Linked DNA regions of Macaca fascicularis. The protein of the gene in region 1 interacts with the protein of each later gene in a pairwise test. Links are inferred from orthologs where the notes say so. Each region holds a gene or a part of one and is shown on either strand. Other genes may lie near its edges.

What was found. The genes of interacting proteins can lie anywhere in the genome.
Region 2: the proteins of HOMEZ (region 1) and NCK2 interact in binary tests that used the Homo sapiens proteins (3 or more experiments, as listed by UniProt). The two-hybrid records come from large-scale screens. The link is inferred for Macaca fascicularis from reciprocal best matches to the Homo sapiens genes HOMEZ and NCK2.
Region 3: the proteins of HOMEZ (region 1) and DEF6 interact in binary tests that used the Homo sapiens proteins (3 or more experiments, as listed by UniProt). The two-hybrid records come from large-scale screens. The link is inferred for Macaca fascicularis from reciprocal best matches to the Homo sapiens genes HOMEZ and DEF6.

What each region holds. Positions count from the first base shown.
Region 1 is NC_088381.1:91,054,605-91,058,767, reverse strand, and holds the start of HOMEZ (homeobox and leucine zipper protein Homez), read left to right. Parts: upstream 1-1,363; 5' UTR 1,364-1,544; coding exon 1,545-1,584; exon of another isoform or gene 1,585-1,752; intron 1,753-4,163. UniProt on the Homo sapiens protein: May function as a transcriptional regulator.
Region 2 is NC_088387.1:10,312,471-10,315,970, forward strand, and holds part of NCK2 (cytoplasmic protein NCK2), read left to right. Parts: coding exon 1-281; intron 282-3,500. UniProt on the Homo sapiens protein: Adapter protein which associates with tyrosine-phosphorylated growth factor receptors or their cellular substrates. Maintains low levels of EIF2S1 phosphorylation by promoting its dephosphorylation by PP1.
Region 3 is NC_088378.1:136,373,120-136,376,649, forward strand, and holds the end of DEF6 (differentially expressed in FDCP 6 homolog), read right to left. Parts: intron 1,377-3,530; coding exon 1,286-1,376; exon of another isoform or gene 1,193-1,285; intron 1,083-1,192; coding exon 859-1,082; 3' UTR 501-858; downstream 1-500.

The sequences.
Region 1 (4,163 bases):
TTGCCTAGGCTGCAGTGCAGTGGTGCAATCATAGCTCACTACAGCCTACAACTCCTGGGCTCAAACGATCCTCCTGCTTCAGCCTCCTGAGTAGCTGGGACTACAAGTGCATGCCACCAAGTCCAGCTAATTTTTAAATTTTTCTGCAGAGACAGGGACTCGCTATGTTGCCTCGCTGGTCTTGGATCCTGGCCTCAAGCAATCCTCCCTCTTTGACTTCCCAAAGCATTGGGATTAGGTTTGTGAGCCACCGCTCCCAGCCCGTTTATCTTTTAGGGAATATAGTGACTCAGGCAAGAGACATGGTTGACTGTGTGCCCTATCCTCTTTTGTCTTCAAAGGGTCTTCCCAGAGACTTCAGAGTCAGAGGCTTTGTGAAATTATGTTGCCAAGCAGAATTGAGCAAGTCTGGCTTCTTACATTTGTTACTTTGTCTCACAGAAGATGGGGAATCCTAAAATACAAATTTTGGCCTATAACTTCATACTGTGTGGGATACTGCTTTGGTGAAGTCCGTTTTATTGTCATCCCTTTCTTTTTGTAAGTTAAAAAAATTTTTTTTTGAGGCAAGGTCTCACTATGTTGCCCAGACTGGCCTCGAACTCTTGGAATCAAGTTATTCTCCCACCTCAGTCTTCATCCCTTCCTAGCTAGTGAAAAACAAATACTATGCAGAACTCCGGGTCCTCTTTTCTAGGGCAAGCAGGGGAGCCGGAGGGTCTGGTAGGTCCCAGTGAGGTGACTGCTCCAGCACTTCATCTTTGGGAACATCGGTCTGGTGCCAGTTTGACCCAGGGAACGGCCTAAGTCGCCCGCAGGCTCCTAAGGTCCTCGTCTTTCCGGGTGGCAAGACATCTGATCCATCTCGAGAACAAGTTCCCGGTTGCTTTAGGCGCTTTGTTACTGCTGACGCTGCTGGTGGCGGTTGGGCTCTCGGCTGGGAAAGGCGCAGCTCGTGTGTATGGCTCGGGAGGGGGCACTGAAAAGGTCTTCCTGGAGGGCTTCCTTCAGAAGGAAACAAATTGGGAGTTGTTGGCGGTCCAGACAGTTCGGCAAAGTGCAGTGTCCCTCCTTGGGGAATTTCGGAAGGATCCTGGCCCGGGGTACTCCAAAGGTCCAGCGCCCATAGGTCGAGGGTAGGGGGAGGTACCAGGCACCGCAGCTTGGCCCCAGGGGACATCTTCCCTGCCCCACGCATCCAATAGATGACCCCAGCTGAGGCCCACGCAGCCAATAGCCGACTTCAGCCGAGACCCAAGCAGCCAATGGCCAGCCCAGTGCACTTCGCCCGTGCCCGCCCGCCTGCGCCCACCAATCAGGACTCGGGCCACCTTGGCACCGCCTCTGGACGCCCACCCCACCCATCCGCCCCGCCTCCAACTTGCTCGAGCAGGGCTGGGTAGACCGGCGCACTCCCGGGGGCGGTGTGGGGGGGCAGTCCCGGTTTCGGCCATCGCTCGGGTGGGCTCGGAGCGGCCGCACCGGGCAGCAACCCCACTCCCACTCGGAGGCCCCCTGCCCTCTCCCCCACTTCCCCCCGGCCCATGGTGCGAGGCTGGGAGCCGCCGCCCGGGCTGGACCGCGGTGAGTGATCCCCAGCCCCTTGGACTTCCCCTCCCAGCTCGTGTACGGTCTCCCACCTCTGGAGTCCCATCCCCGCGCTGGTGGGGGGAGAATTCTAGGTTCGAAGTGGCTCGGTTCTCTCTTTTTTCTCCTCTGGACTTTTCGGTTCCCTGTTGTAACTAGGGGAGGGTAAGTGTCTGTGTAGGGGAGGGCAAGAAGGTTGGGTTGGGGCGCCCTTGGCGAGAGTAGGATTGAGATTCGCCTGCCTCATGGGGCTCATCGTCCCAAGTGCAACAACTTTTTGTTCCCTGACCCAGTTCGGAGCCTTCTGGACTGCCTGTGAAATGGAGGATAGGAGAAACATTTCCTTCCCAGGCCCCCCCCGACGCCACACAAACCCCCAACCCCCATGGCTACCTCCTGGCGACCTCAACACACGTGCAGAACCTGGCCTTGCTTCTGGGGGATCAGCGGCCTTTGGGAATGAAAGGTTTAGAAGAAACTGCCCCTCTGATTCCCGTACCCAGCCATACTCAGAAAACCAACCAGGAAACTGAGAACCCGAGTCCTCTGGGGTTCCTAGTGTTGCGTCCTATTCTGAGACTCCTAAACTGAAAGAAGACTCAAGCTGAGACCTGTTTGGTAATGTGGGCCCAGATCAGGAGATTTTTTTTTTTTTTTGTCATGTGAGCCTCTTTCCCATCATACACTTGAAGCCCTTTTATATTACATGATTAGGTTAGATGGTTGTAATTGAAAAAACCAGATTGGGAATTTTAAAGATAATGCATACATATCTTGAACATTATAATTAAAAGTATGTCCATTTCACCAATCTTTTGATGTAGTGGTGAGACTGTTCTTGTGTCTAAGACTGCTGTTCGGAGTTCCCAATTCTCTTTCCAGTGTTAACTACACAGGGAGTCTCAAACCTGGCTGTACCCTGAGAACTTTTTAAAAAACTGTGGATGCCTGGACCCCAGTACAGACTATTGAATCTGAATGGGGAGGAGAGTGGCCTGGTTTTTAAGCTTCCCAGGTAATTCTACAGTGCAGTCTGAGATGAGAGCCACTCAGGCACTTTCATCATCTTTGATTTCCCGTTTTGCTTTATTTAAAGTGAAGTAAGAATTCAGACGCTTTTGAGTGCAGAGTACTTTTGAGATTAAGTCCCACCCCTCAATCTTTTGCAGTTGTCTTGCTCACTCCCAACTCAACAATTTTTAAAATGCATACTCTTCTTTGCGTTATGTCTCTCCAAAACATTTGACTTAGTTTTCATAGGACCAATTTTTAAAAAATCAGTATTCCTGAAGGAACAGTTTTCAATGCAGTGATTTTTCATAGGTTTACATGAGGTTTAATTACATTATTATACAGACACTGAAAAAGTGTGGACATAAGCAGGTTTGTAATCACACAAAACTGGCCCCAGCACACAGGACAACTGAATGAAGCAGATGATTTTGGCGCACTAGTAGTAGCCTACTGGCCTTTAGTTTCCAGTGCACCATGGTATTGGTCATGTAATCCAGTGGGTCAGTTAAGCCAGGCTCCTGGCCCAGGTGAGCATCCTTCCCTTCCACTCTTTCCAACTAATATCACAATTACCTTGTCCCTTCTAAACGCACTTGAATTCCTGAGTATTCCATCAACTCTTTACATTCGTTCACATCAAACTGTTCGTCTTTAAGTGATTACCACTATTGCCTTTGTTAAGTTGGAAGGATATGAGGCAGTAATCCTTAACCTGGCTTCTTGGCAGTCACTAAAGGCCCTGAGTTTACTGTGTAAGTGTGAATGTTTATTTCGGGAAGGTTGGTCATAACTTTCTGAGGGTCTGTAACTTTTGTCTGATTCTCAGAGGTTCATGAACTAAAAAGTTAAGAAGCATATAAGCTGAATATCACTATACATCTTTAAGGCCCTTAAAACTGTATCCCCAAACACATTTCAGGAGTACTTCAGACTGCCTCTAAATAAAGATTTAGGGAACTCTGCAGGATCATATCTCATTTCCCACTTTATTTATTTTTATTTTTTATTTTTTGAGACAGAGTCTCACTCTGTCCCCCAGGCTGGAGTACAGTGGTGTGATCATGGCTCACTGCAACCTCTGCCTCCCAGGTTCAAGCGATTCTCCTGCCTCAGCTTTCCCAGTAGCTGGGACTACATGCGCATGCCACCATGCCTGGCTAATTTTTGTATTTTTAATAGAGACGGGTTTCACCGTGTTGACCAGGCTGGTCTCGAACTCCTGACCTCAAGTGATCCTCCCGCCTCGGCCTCCCAAAGTGCTGGGATTATAGGCGTGAGTCACTATACCCAGCCTTGCCTCCCACTTTAACTGTCTCCTAATTTAACGATAGGCCTAGGTTCAAACCTAAAGTTCTAGAGTCCTCTTTTTCCTAGGACTGTGTAAACACAGAAACTGGAAGTTTAAGACAGTCCATTCTTGTTTGCCATCTGTCCAGGGATATGGAAAGCCCAAGGGGAAAGAAGGGTGTTATACTGACTCAGAGAGAGAGTGAGAATTTTTTTTTTTTTTGAGACAGAGTCTCACTGTCGCCAGGCTGGAGTGCAGTGACACAATCTTGGCT
Region 2 (3,500 bases), on another chromosome or scaffold:
AGGTGATCGAGAAGCCCGAGAACGACCCCGAGTGGTGGAAATGCAAAAATGCCCGGGGCCAGGTGGGCCTCGTCCCCAAAAACTACGTGGTGGTCCTCAGTGACGGGCCTGCCCTGCACCCTGCACACGCCCCACAGATAAGCTACACCGGGCCCTCGTCCAGCGGGCGCTTCGCGGGCAGAGAGTGGTACTACGGGAACGTGACGCGGCACCAGGCCGAGTGTGCCCTCAACGAGCGGGGCGTGGAGGGCGACTTCCTCATTAGGGACAGCGAGTCCTCGGTAAGTGCGCTGCGCCCGCAGCTCTGGCTGGAGGCAGTAAATGCGCCTTGCACAGTGGCTCTGTGTGCCGCGCCCATTTCACATTGTGTGAGTACACTAGAAAGGCGAGAGATGCAGATGAATGCAATTTAGTGTAATGTTTGCTACTCCGTGATTTCCTTGCATCTGTTTTGGGGATCGTGGGTGTCCATTTCTGGAGATGGGAGGTTAACTGAAAAAATGTTTGTAGCTGACAAAGGTGGTTCTGCTTCTCTCCGAAGATTGCCCCTCTTGTATTTTACAGACTCAAACGTCATTTTCTCTCCTGGTTGCCCATTGTGTGTACGTAGAAGGCCCCAGTGATTTACTTTGTTTCCACTCGGTCTGTTTCCCAGAGAAAGCAATCTTTGCAAGACTGGTGGCGGGTTTCTGACACCGCCTTTTGTTGTTTGCTTGCTTTCTCTTTGTAAACCGTATAATCCCAAGGTCATTGCCACGGCAGGCAGCGCCACTGAGTTCATCTCTGAAAAGCTTTTAAAGCACTTACGAGATGAATTGTAAAGAAAACAAGGGTTCTTGAGAGAGATGAGTTTTGTGTGTGTGCAGTGAGTGGGAGATATGAAGCCACTGGACTGGGGCAGCAGACCCACTTCCAGGGGTGGGCAGGCTGGGGGCAGTGAGTTTCAGACGTGGGGGTGGAGCCTGCATCCCAGAAGGCAGCCTTTTCGTGTGTGAAGGAAATATTCGACCAGTTTTGCAAACGTCTTTACAAATACACCTTCTACAATCGAGAGACTTCCAAAACAAGCATTTAGGAGTTTGATGTATTTGAATTGTATTGGTTCTAGTAGGCTTCAATTTCATTTTTAAATGCACACTGTAAGACTAGTAAGTATGTACTACCTGCTGCCCCTGCTGTCCTCTGAAAAGGTTACTGGCACAATAAATAAGTGCACATTCAGGAGTCCTGTTGACTGATCAGAGAGGCATTCAAAGCCCTCCAGAGAGAGGCAAGTGGGATCTTCTCCTCTTTGAGGAAGGAGCATCGTGGTGGTGGAAACTGGACTCCTTTGTGGTGTCATCAGTTTTGCGGAGCCTTAGATGTGCTTGGACGGGAATGCCAGCCTGAAAGCTAACTTCATCTGAAATCTGAACTCTGAGATTTTCTTATCAAGTCACCAGAGTTTATCATTCCTGGCAAGACATCACATTGAATTGTTCTCACATGACGAGAGCTCTGTGCACCATTTCCTTTAGATCGGGTTTGAAGCCTTAAGCAAATTAAGGACAGCAGCGCTTTTAACTCAATCGAGCAGAAACTTAGAGAAACTGCTGGAAAACCAATTACAATATTAAGTGCTTGGTCCAGAGTCCTTAAGGGCTAAGTATAATGCACAAAATATGATCTTGGCTTAAAATGTTTGAGTTTGAAGAGACTTCTCAGAAGGAAGGCCTGCAGTGTGGAGACATTGCTCCCAGTCGTTCTTCTTTCTGCCTAAGATTTGGGGAGATGAAGAAAGACTTTAGAGAGTAGATGAAAAAGGTGTTCTCCAGGGTTGCTGGCCTTAGGGAGGACCTATGGCTTTTCTGTGGAACATGCACAGGTGGTCATTGTTGTCTGAATTCAGGGACCGGATCCCTTTGGATAAGGAGGGATGCATGCATTGGCTGGGTTTCATCTCAGAACTCTACACCCCACTGTCTCAGTTGCCTTGCATTGTTAGAGAATGAGCTCACTTTTTCAAAAGTACTAAAGCACTAATTGTTTGTATTTCCTTTTAACAATTTTTTAATTGGGGGCCTTTCAAGATGTTTTGCATTCTCTCCTAACTTAGAAAGTCAAGGAGCAACATGTATGATTCCAGGAATATAGGGTGGAAAGGGCTTTACTGGCACTTGCATCGGCTCTGCACACATAGCAGCACCGTCTTGGTCTGAGGCTCCACGTGGCCTGATGCTGTGCAGGGCAGCTTGTCCTGATGGATCTTGCCGTGACACAGGCCATTTTCAGCGGTTAGTGTGCATGCCTTGTGCCACGGGGATTCTACAAGAGCCCTGAGGTGTGTGGCTTCTTTTCTCCTGACCGCAGAACCGGGCCAGGTTTGCTGCGTTTCCTGTTCATGACCAAGGCTGTTCTCAGCTGTCATCTGTGACTGCCGGGGACCTGTCCTGGTGGACAAGTGGACAAGTCCTTTGCTTGTTTTTTTTCCCCACCATCCGCTGCCTCCCCCCATCCCCATGTGTTTCCCTGCTCATTTTGCCATTTCTCAGGTTAGAGCTGGCTTTCACAGCCACCACCAGGCCACCAAGAGCCCTTAGGTTCACGGTCTGACATAATTCCTTCACAGCATGCCGGGACGGAAAGGTTTCTGAGGGGTTCAGCCTCCCTGCAGGACTCAGAGGCAGGCATCTTCATTTAATTTCCTTTTTTCTTGGAATCTTTGGGCCTGGACCTTTCGTTGAGGTTACCACATGAAGCCTGGCTTCTGGATAAGCACAGCTGTTTCTTCTGGAATGGATCTTCAACATGCGTTTCAGTTTTTAAAATACCCTGAGTGACTGCAGTGTAAATGAGCTAGACCCTTGCTTGATGACATTGAGAGGTGCTTATTTCAGGGAGGACAAACATTGCCACATCCTGCACTATCCACTATCAGTAAGTGCTGGGTATTTCAGAAGTATCTGTTGGATATGTTAGATGAATCAGTGAACTAACAAATGAACGAACCTGTTGGGCCCTCTTTCCTGTCCTGAACGTCAGTGCCTACTGCTTGTTCTTCCCTTTCTTCTTCCTCCCTCGCTCTCCTCTCTCATCTACAATTGTCGTTTATCCTTAGCAGCTAAAGGTGATATATTGTTGGTGCTTATTCTCCATATTTCATTATCATACCTTCAGCTGTGAGCTATACCTGCTTAAATCCAGAAAACTCAGAAATCCTACTCACCCGGTGTGTGTCCCTCATAAATCCTTTTATATTTTGTCCACATTGATGCTATGGATGTGGCTAGAAAGCTGTACTTAAAATGAACAGTAACCCTTTACTGGGTTTCTGGTAAACTGTACAAGTTGTCAGTATTTTATTAATTGCTGCATCCCCCATCCTTGTAAAAGTTGTTCAGAAAGTGACAGATCACAACTAGGATATGGTTGGAAAAGGTGCACAGCTGGCCTGGGTGACTTGCTGGACAGCATCAGCCACAAGTCTGGGAAGCCATTTTCCTCTGTAAGATTTTAGATAC
Region 3 (3,530 bases), on another chromosome or scaffold:
TCTGTCTTGGGTAACAAGGTCAGCGAGTCAGAGATTACAGGAAGAAAAGCAAGTCTGAAAGGCTTTGGGAAAGTTACCAAATCTCCCCGAACCTCAATTCATCCATTTGTAAAATGCCAATGATGATTTCCAGTTCTGAGAGTTGTCATGAAAATTAAATCACCTGGAAAACTGTAGTAGACACTTAATAAACACTTTTGGCTGATACTAATAATGGTGCTCGCTCATGTGCCAGTTAATCCTCATATAACCCTATATGGTAAGTATAATCATTATCTGTATTTTACCAACATGGGAACTGAAACACAGAGATATAAAGAAAATTGACCAAAGTCAATCGGTTAGTAAGTAGCAAAGCCAGGTTCAGAACCCAGGCAGTCTAGCTGCAGGGTCTTTCCTAACCACTTTATTATACTTTTACTGCCCTTTGGAACCTATAACTGGGCTTGAGGGAGGAAGGGAGGAAGTGGCAGGAGAGATGGACAGACCTGAGCCAATAATTCATTCTAAGAGCAGTTTTTATTTAGAAATGTGCTTCCACAACTTGGTGGCCACCTGGGGGCAGGTGGCCCCAGCTTGCTTGTTCACTCTTTCCCAGCCCAGGGGTTGGGTCCTTGGGTCTAAAGCACAGGGCAAGTTCTCAAGGATCAACACCCCAGACAGTCCCCATGGTCTGGGGCTTGGAGCTGGTATGAAGGGTGAACCAGGTTCCATTCTGGACTGTTTATGGTTGGAGGCTGGGCCCCTGGCACCAGGACCTCAGCTCCCTCTCCTAGTAAGAGCTGGGATCACCCACAGGCCAGCTGTGGCCAGGTCCTGGTGGATATGACATTGGGAAGAACAAGGGGCTAGGAGAGGCTAATTTTCTGGTGCTGGATCCAGTTTATCTTCCTGAGGGGTGGAAGCCGGGACAGGAGCCTCATCCCCACCGTTGAGGGACTTCTGCTGCTCATTGCTGTTGGGCGAAGGGGTCCTGTTGCCCTGGGATCCCCAGCGGGTCAGGCGCTTTAGGGAAGAGTCACGGCGGGCAAGCAGAGGGGGCTGGAAGCCTGTGAAGGAGCTGCTGGTGACCGGACGCTTATCTGGCAGAGAGAAGGCAGGCAAGTAAGGAGAAAGGCATGCAAAGGCGAGAGGCAAGGGGCCTTGCCTCAGCCCTTGGAGGAGAGGGGAGCCTCCTGACTGCCAGTCCTACCTTTGCTGGCCCTAGGAGATCTGGAGGTATCCCTTTCTCCCTCTTTTCTCTCGCCCAGCTCCAGGGAAAGCTCCAGAGTCTATCCCTTCTCACCTCCAGGCTCAATTGGATGCATGAGCCGGTTCATCTGGACATTCCAGTGTTTCACATTGGTGCTGGCCTGGCGCAGTTTTCTCTGGGCAGCCTGTGGGGGCAGGGCCAGTGGGGAGTGATCAGAACCATCATCCATGGCATGGAGTCTTGATCTTTTCAGGTTCACAGGCTGCTTAAAATCTGACCAAGACTACTGATCATCTCCCCAGAGAAGAACCATGTATGCTCATGAAGAGTTATTAATATATACATGAATAGAGTTTGCCTCCAATTTCATGGGACTCATGGACCTCCCAAAGGTAAAATGTAACCATAATAATAGTTTCCAACCAATATCCCTGATGAACATCAATGCAAAAATCCTCAATAAAATACTGGCAAACCAAATCCAGCAGCACATCAAAAAGCTTATCCACCATGATCAAGTGGGCTTCATCCCTGGGATGCAAGGCTGGTTCAACACATGCAAATCAATAAATGTAATCCAGCATATAAACAGAACCAAAGACAAAACCACATGATTATCTCAATAGATACAGAAAAGGTCTTTGACAAAATTCAACAGCCCTTCATGCTAAAAACTCTCAATAAATTCGGTATTGATGGAACGTATCTCAAAATAATAAGAGCTATTTATGACAAACCCACAGCCAACGTCATACTGAATGGGCAAAAACTGGAAGCATTCCCTTTGAAAACTGGCACAAGACAGGGATGCCCTCTCTCACCACTCCTATTCAACATAGTGTTGGAAGTTCTGGCTAGGGCAATCAGGCAAGAGAAAGAAAGAAAGGGTATTCAATTAGGAAAAGAAGAAGTCAAATTGTCCCTGTTTGCAGATGACATGATTGTATATTTAGAAAACCCCATCGTCTCAGCCCAAAATCTCCTTAAGCTGATAAGCAACTTCAGCAAAGTCTCAGGATACAAAGTCAATGTGCAAAAATCACAAGCATTCTTATACACCAATAACAGACAAACAGAGAGACAAATCATGAATGAACTCCCATTAACAATTGCTTCAAAGAGAATAAAATACCTAGGAATACAACTTACAAGGGATGTGAAGGACCTCTTCAAGGAGAACTACAAACCACTGCTCAGTGAAATAAAAGAGGACACAAACAAATGGAAGAACATACCATGCTCATGGATAGGAAGGATCAACATCGTGAAAATGGCCATACTGCCCAAGGTGATTTATAGATTCAATGCCATCCCCATTAAGCTACCAATGACTTTCTTCACAGAATTGGAAAAAACTGCTTTAAAGTTCATGTGGAACCAAAAAAGACCCCACATTGCCAAGACAATCCTAAGCCAAAAGAACAAAGCTGGAGGCATCATGCTACCTAACTTCAAACTATACTACAAGGCTACAGTAACCAAAACAGCATGGTACTTGTACCAAAACAGAGATATAGATCAATGGAACAGAACAGAGCCCTCCGAAATAATACCATACATCTACAGCCATCTGATCTTTGACAAACCTGACAAAAACAAGAAATGGGGAAAGGATTCCCTATTTAATAAATGGTGCTGGGAAAATTGGCTAGCCATACGTAGAAAGCTGAAACTGGATCCTTTCCTTACTCCTTATATGAAAATTAATTCAAGATGGATTAGAGACTTAAATGTTAGACCTAAAACCATAAAAACCCTAGAAGAACCTAGGTAATACCATTCAGGACATAGGCATGGGCAAGGACTTCATGTCTAAAACACCAAAAGCAATGGCAACAAAAGCCAACATTGACAAATGGGATCTAATTAAACTAAAGAGCTTCTGTGCAGCAAAAGAAACTACCATCAGAGTGAACAGGCAACCTACACAATGGGAGAAAATTTTTGCAATCTACTCATCTGACAAAGGGCTAATATTCAGAACCTACAAAGAACTCAAACAAATTTACAAGAAAAAACCAAACAATCCCATCAAAAAGTGGGCAAAGGATATGAACAGGCACTTCTCGAAAGAAGACATTCATACAGCCAACAAACACATGAAAAAATGCTCATTATCACTGGTCATCAGAGAAATGCAAATCAAAACCACAATGAGATACCATCTCACACCAGTTAGAATGGCAACCATTAAAAAGTCAGGAAACAACAGGTGCTGGAGAGGATGTGGAGAAATAGGAACACTTTTACACTGTTGGTGGGACTGTCAACTAGTTCAACCATTGTGGAAAACAGTGTGGCGATTCCTCAAGGATCTAGAACTAGAAATACCATTTGA